2 linked regions of the Bombyx mori genome follow. The protein of the gene in region 2 interacts with the protein of the main gene of each other region in a pairwise test. Links are inferred from orthologs where the notes say so. Each region holds a gene or a part of one and is shown on either strand. Other genes may lie near its edges.

Region 1 (3,450 bases), on a different chromosome or scaffold from region 2:
GTATGTCCAATCAGTAAAAATGTTCAGTAGGTGATCAAATTTAAATGACTATCAGGCATTTGTCAGGAAAATAGGAAGACTACTTTTGATATCGATTTTATATATACCTATTGACAATTGAAATATTAGCTAAGCTAAGCTGTCGAAGTCGTGGCCTAAAGGATAAGACGTACAGTGCATTCGTGTTGAGCGATGCACCTGTGTACAGATCCCAGGCGAGTACTAATTTTTCTACGAAATCGTACTCATCAAATATTCACGATTGACTTCCACAATTAAGGAATAACATCGTGTAATAAAAATTTAAACCCGCAAATTTATAATTTGCGTATTAACTGGTGGTAGGACCTCTTGTGAGTCCGCGCGAGTAGGTACCACTCCCCTGCCTAATTCTGCCGTGATGAAGTAGTAATGCGTTTCGGTGTTTTGAAGGGTGGGGCAGCCGCTGTAACCATACAGAGATCTTAGAAGTTATATCTCAAGGTGGGTGGCGCATTTACGTCGTAGATGTCTGGGCTCCAGTAACCACTTAACACCAGGTGGGCTCGTTGACCCATCTAAGCTAATAAATAAAAAAATCTTGAAGACTCAACTTTGAAAGAAATTCAAAGCTAAAATGACATTATTATTTTTTAGGGTACTTATTATTAGTACTTTATTTAATTTATTTCAATATATTAAATAGTTTTAAGCTAATTTTATAGTTTGCAAGTGAAGTTTATATCTTTTTAAGCTTATTAATCAATAAAAATCACAAGACATGTCCAGCAGCAGATGTCTCTGTGCTAACAAAATAGAAAAAAGAAAATATTAATCAATAAAAGTACAAAGTAAGACAAATTCTTTTATTCAGTTGTTATACAATGACTGTCTTAGACTTTGAACTCTGAGTATGGAGACTTAGTCAGCGGGATATCCCTCCACAAGTCAGGAGTGAGGTAGGCATATGTCTTGGCAATGGCAGCGTATGTGGCTTTAGCAAAATTTCCCAAGGTGCCAGTTGAACCACGAGCTGACGTGTAGCAATCCTGTACACCAGCCATCTGAAGAAGCTTCTTAGGAACTGGCGCAGACACAATACCAGTACCACGAGGGGCAGGAATCAGCCGGACTGTTACGGAACCACACTTGCCGGTGACCTGAAAAAACAATTGTTTGTTTGATTTATTAAAACGATCGAAACCAATTTTATGTTTTCATTTCACAATTAAATTAATTCAGACGTTCAAAAGCTTCACAGGATAAACCTCAAGAGGATACCACGAATGAAATGATTAGAATGTTATCATCATTTATACAATTTAAATATTTTTTTAAATATAGAAGTGGCATTTACCTTGCAAGGGACGGTGTGTGGCTTTCCTATCTTGTTACCCCAGTAACCTCTTCGGACTGGTAGAACTGACAGCTTAGCAAGGATAATAGCGCCTCGAATGGCAGTGGCGACTTCCTTGCTGCACTTCACACCCAAACCAATATGACCGTTGTTGTCGCCAATGGCAACAAATGCCTTGAAACGTGTGCGCTGTCCGGCACGTGTTTGTTTCTGTACAGGCATGATCTTAAGAACCTCATCATTCAGGGACGGGCCGAGGAAGAAATCAATGATCTCGAATTCTTTGATTGGTAAAGAAAACAAGTAAATGCTCTCGAGTTTGTCGATTTTTCCTTCGCGAACAAGACGGCCGAGTTTGGTGACAGGAACCCACTCTTTCTGGTCTTCCTTGCCGCGCCCACGACCACGGCCGCGACCACGACCGCGTCCACGAGGACCGCCACGGCCTCTATCTCCACCGCGTGATCCGAATCCGCCGCGAAAACCGCCACGTCCACCGGCTGGAGCAGCGTCCGCCATTCTGGAATTTATAGTTTATCTTGTTAATAATTACTAAATTATAGACAATTTACACAAAGAATAGCTATTTATCAGACGCATAAAGGCCATCACTGTGCTAACACTATGGTAGATACCACGAATGAATTAAAAAAATTGTGTCATCATAAACCACGTGGTGAGGGGTTGAAAATTGAAAAGAGATCCTTTGGACGATGGACGCTTAAATTGAGTCTTCTCAGTAAACAAAACACTTGCATAACTAAAAAGTTAAAACTAAAAATAATTGGGATATTAAATTCATTTAACTCTAAAACTTACGTTGAACGATGGGCTCTGATAGACAGTCAAGCACAAAATGGCCGTTTGAACTTATTTAGTTCAATAGAGCCTAACAAAGTATCGAGAAAATCGAATGTGCTGTCATTAGATTATCGATGTTTTTTTAAAACCCTCGATTTTTTTAAAAACTCGATCCGAAAATGGTGTGTTTTAATTAATTAGAAACCTAAAATATTTTTAAATCAAAATCTCAAGTTTTATAATGATTAATAAGGACTAACTAAACTACTAACACATCTTTCTTCTAAATGCGGTTTTTTTTTTTAATAATAATATATATATGGATAGCTAAGACTATCTGGGTACACGGTGAGGTTGGATTCCTCAATTATCGACGTTATTAATAAAAAGATGCATAAGAAAGCGGATAGAGAGAGCGGTAATTGTTGAGTCAGTGCTGAGACCAAGAGTAATGAGTAATAGAATAACTTTTTCACTATACTTTCGCAATAAGGCACATTGTGCTTTGTTGTGCAACAATGTGTTGCGTTGAATATCTTTGATCCTACTTGAATCTTCAAAATGTTTATGTAACTATTTTTTTGTGTTTATTTAATTCAGTTACACGTGATTCGATCTGTATTTCTGATAAGATTTAAATAATAAAGAGAGCCAAATTTATCTATATACACCAACCTAATTAAATTTTCAGAAACGTCGTATCTGTACAATCATAAGTACTTAATCTAGTTGGACATAGAATCATCCTAGAAAAAAGTCGAAACCAATTCGTCAGATAACGCTGACATAGCCTCTCAATGCTATCAGCAAAGGTAAACGAAAAAAAAACAAAAAACGACACCACTTTACTTAATTTCAGTCGACAAACTCTCATGCATCTATTCTATCATTAAAGTAGTTCGTTTAGAAATAGTCTCGTAGACTGAAAAAATCTCACATTTCGTAGGGAGTGATTTGTGCTGCGTAGCTCTAGTCGCTACGAAGCACAGACCATTTATTTATGACCTAAAGGTCTTAGTTACCATGTCGAAAGATCCCTTAAAAAAAATTATTTTTTATTTATTATTTTTATTAAATCTTAAAGCCATAGTCCATACACGTAACGATATACTTGTGCCATAACGTCTTCCTCCGGGTGGCCACGTCCCCTGGATTTTCTTTTTCATTCTCAGCAGGGGCAAATCCTATTTATAATTTCGCATATTATTATGCCAAACATACGTTTTTGACAGTATTTCAAATCCCACTTTTTGTGGTCATTTGCAAGATTTTACTTTAAAGAATTCAATCAATCTACAGTATCTTCATCATTC
Region 2 (4,396 bases):
CTTTCTTACACCTTGAACAATGAGCAGGTCCTCTAGCACCACATACATCACACAATTTTGTCCAGTTGTCCATTGGGAATTCCTATTATGTGGGAAGGTTCCTATTAAAATTTTTAGTAGCATATTCTGAATGAGTGACTCTGTTTATGATGGTGCAGATATAGGTATACATATATGCCTTTCTTTTTTTTCCTACCTATTCTAGTGACCTCGAGGGCCATACTAGATTCACCAGCGAGTATGTGAGCTTACGGGGCTCTAACCTGGGGACGTGGCTAACACTAGCTGTATCAAGAACAGTGTCTCGCAGAACCTACCTGAGAAAACCCGGTAGAAACTCAGTGGGCTATGTCTATGGGTATTTTTTATTTTTTATTGTTTAGATGGGTGGACGAGCTCACGGTCCTCATGGTGTTAAGTGGTAACGGGAGTCCCTAGATATATACAACGTAAACGGCGCCACCCACCTCGATACGTGAGCTGTAAGGTCTGTTTTAACAGTACAACGGCCGCCCTACCATTGAAACCAAAACGCATTACTGCTTCACAGAAATAGGTGGGGTGGTGGTAGCTACCCGTGCAAACTTCTAAGACGTGCTACCACCAGTAATTATGTACTTTATAATTTTACGAGCTTGATTTTTATTACACGATGTTATTGCTTCACCTTGGAAGTCAAAGAACAAGTGGAAGTAGTATGGACGTATTTCATAATAAAAATTGGTACACGCCTGCGGGATTCGAACACCGGTATATTGTTCGACACGAATGCACCGGCCGTCTTACCCTTCGTCGCAAGCCATGGGTTCGACGAGAACGGTGACCAGTGCTTGAGGTACCTAAAAGCACTGATAGTGGATCGGGAGGATCCGAAATTACGTGTTTAGGACTACGTGGAGTGTTTACTATTCGATCCGCAGGTAAACGCCTGATCGATATACGCTTGGCAGTTTAAGACATCAATTCTAGTAATCAATCAGATATTTTTAAAAATGGTTAGTTTAGTGATGTTTTCAAAAAAAAATCAATTGGTATTTAGAAAAGTAGGATAGTATTTATTTTGCCTCATAAAAAATTGCTGCATATACAAAAGATACAATTGTAGTTTGAACTGAAAAATATCTACAAACCTAAGTGAATAGTTATAATCCCGTGTTTTCTCTATCTAACTACAATATAAATATAATATTAAATCTAATTATTATTATTTCAAATATAATTTAATTGGATCCTTTTGGTAAGCTTCAGTCTCTAGTTAATTAATAAAACAAAACAAGGATGTGACAGATGTTGAAACAGATGGATATAAAATCATATGGCAATATTAAAATCAGGGAGGTGATGATTGGATCAAATGTCACCACTCCATTTAAAAGATAGTGTTTTTTAGCAAAAAGAGAATCTGATTTGGGAGACGTTTGAAGGAGCTAACAGCCTTCTCAGTGTACATTGGTTACCAGAGAACCCTTAGAGGTTACAACATGAATAGTTTTGGAGATTTATTTTGACTGAACAACATATGGTACAATAACCAGCATACTGAAGATGCTCTCTGCCTAGATTATATAACGCTATGAATTTTAATATGAACCCTAATTGAAGATACTAAATTGTGAAGGAGCATTCAGAGGCTAAATAACTAAACTTCATTTCACTGTGTAACTGCTATCACTTAGGCAGCAAAAGATAGTATTCAAAGAGCATATTATCTCAAGAGGGTCAAGAATGTCTAAGGAAATTTGTGTAATTCAAGCTGGGTTTAAGCCTGTACAAAAAAAATTAAAAGTTTACGGTAGTCAAAACTGATACTTCTGGGTCCCAGTGATGGATTCAAACTGTTGGGTTAATAGTTCCACCAGCTTCTGAAGTCAATAAGTACAGCACCTTCTAGGCCACTGACTAGAGCAACTTGAATGCCACAATTAATTCTACACCATTTGAGGGATGTCAACAAGAAGATTGACACCTGCTGGTAAGATTTAAAGCGAATTATTCCATGACTGGGATAGATTTTTCAAGCTTCTTAATAATCAAACAACTCAAAATTAACACTGTTAATAAATCAAACCTCATCTTTTTCTTCATATGGTTGATAGGAATAGAAATCATTCGTTCTAGGAAGCTGACAGCGTAGTACAATAAAGTTATCAGTGTGGTTTTTACTGCAACAATTTCCATTTTTACAAATGAAAATAAATATAGTTCTATGAAAGCAATCTTCTACATCTTCAAACGGAGCATAAACCTGAAAGAATAGTTATAATAATGACCTTAAATATTTTCAATATGCTTTGTTAATATTGTTTAAAATGACGTACTTGACACAAGAAAACTGTAGGATCCTGGCATTTTTTACACAAAAGCTCACTAGATTTCGGTAGATCCTGCAGATTAAGCCAGGATGGTTTTCCGCCAATTTTGCTTGGAAAGAACCTTGGATGTAAAAGCCAACTAGGTTTTTCTTCTAAAACGCCTATATCCACTTTTCTGGGCTCCATTTAAATTAAACGAAAACTGTGTTATATTAAATCCAATTCAGTATTTTTATGTAGTGTTAAAAACGTTTTTCATTTTTCAAGTAAAATAAACAAATCTATTAGACTCGTGTGTTACTGCTATCTATAATAAGAGTTTAAAAGTTAAAAGAGAATCGCAACACGCACATTTTAGGTTAGTTTAAGTAAATCCATAGGTACATTAGGTATATACTAGGTAGGTACATACAACATACCTACCTATTTAAGCTAATCAATGTAAGTAATTATCTGTGCATGTTGATACACTAATTTAAATCAAGTTTTTGGCGGGAACGCGAGGAGTGAAGTTGTGTGATTTGTTTTATGTTGTCTATTTATAGTTTCTTCAGGTTTAAATGGGTTATAACGGTGGTTTATTAACTGTTTAATATCTTCGAAAGTGCACAAATGTGGGAAAATGAAACAAAGCCGCTAGACGTAACTTCTCGGGATCCTTCAAACAGTTCACTGAAAAAGTCTCAGTAAATGTCCACCATTTTACGTATTGAATTACGAATTTGAAATTCGTATCAAGATTTAAAATTTAGTTCCTCAATATCCCAACCCCTGATGACAAAAATTATCCCTGAAACATTTCGGGCTGTTTATAAATGTCTGGCACATTAAATAAAGGCGACCGAAATTAATACTTTATTCGGAAGTAAAAAACAAACTAAAACGTCCTTACGCATGGAGAGTTAGGACTGAAACCATTATGTAACTAAATGCGACTACACCTTCCTAAATGCGTTTCTAATTAGGCTTCTATATGATTTAGTCAGTCAGAAGTCAGAAACCATCCTTGCTACTGAATTTAGTAGGCTAAATTTAGCCAAGAGTATTATGCCTTTTACTTAATCCTTAATGCTAAATCCAGGGCAATAAAAAGCAAAAGTCATATCATTTGAATGAGGAGTGAAACGGAAAGGAAATAATTAATATTTATTTTTAAATGAAATGAGAGGAGGAAGACAGCGCAGGTGTTAGCAAAGATAAAATGAAAAAATCTCAGTAAAAGAATGAGAATTTACTGAGAATTACAATTTCTTTATAAGAAAAGTCGAGAAGCCGTGCAAGCAAATTAATTACATTTACGTTTAATTGTACTATTAAAATGAATATTAGGCTAAAATAACAGAATACCGGCCATTAAATATTAAAAAGAAATAATTAAGTGTGATTTAAAAAAAATTATTAAGTGTTGATCCCTGTATTCTGTAGGTATTCAGACCGGCAAAGAAAACGGGACCATACGATCTACATGGGTACTAAGAACGGCACTAACCTAACCTTTAACTTTTGTCACTTTTGTGAAGAATGTAAACAATGTGGTGTACTTATTATTTGTAAACAAATAATAAAATTTAATATATCTAGTAGATATCAGAATTGTAAAGTCAGTCTGTAAACTCTGTAACGATGAAAGAAATCTGCGATATTATGGAAAAATTTGCTGATGCCAAAATAAATAAAACATATTTGAAAGTATGTGCCCCGATGGTCAGATACAGCAAAGTTCATTTTAGAACTTTAGTAAGAAAGTGAGTCTATTTAACGACTTGTTGATTTATCTAATTTCGAAATTGTAATTGATTTTTTGTCGTATGTCTGCTCTCAGCCATCACACTAAGTGATTGTAGTATAATCGTCCATCTATCAGCTTACAATTTACCTACACAAATCACTACCTCTGCTCTTTCAACGGAAGTTAATTCCGACCAGTAGGACAAACATGACCAATTTTAATATGTTTAGTGTCTGATAGCAAGGTAATTGAAATCTGTTTGTACTGGCACTGCAGCTTTGAATGTGCTGGTCTCTGGAAATGTTTCAATTGAGTTTTAATTGTTAATTAAAATAAATTGGTGGAGTCTCATTAG

What was found.
Region 1: the proteins of programmed cell death protein 2 (region 2) and RpS2e interact in a two-hybrid assay, tested with the Drosophila melanogaster proteins (2 studies listed by BioGRID). The link is inferred for Bombyx mori from reciprocal best matches to the Drosophila melanogaster genes Zfrp8 and RpS2.

Annotation. Positions count from the first base shown.
Region 1 is NC_085119.1:4,434,769-4,438,218, reverse strand, and holds RpS2e (ribosomal protein S2), read right to left. Parts: upstream 2,182-3,450; 5' UTR 2,156-2,181; intron 1,857-2,155; 5' UTR 1,856-1,856; coding exon 1,337-1,855; intron 1,142-1,336; exon of another isoform or gene 1,140-1,141; coding exon 873-1,139; 3' UTR 832-872; downstream 1-831. UniProt on the Drosophila melanogaster protein: Component of the ribosome, a large ribonucleoprotein complex responsible for the synthesis of proteins in the cell.
Region 2 is NC_085128.1:8,869,692-8,874,087, reverse strand, and holds the start of programmed cell death protein 2, read right to left. Parts: upstream 2,982-4,396; 5' UTR 2,499-2,981; coding exon 2,319-2,498; intron 2,246-2,318; coding exon 2,069-2,245; intron 83-2,068; coding exon 1-82. Other genes in the region: tRNA-dihydrouridine(20a/20b) synthase [NAD(P)+]-like, read left to right, coding at 3,936-4,057.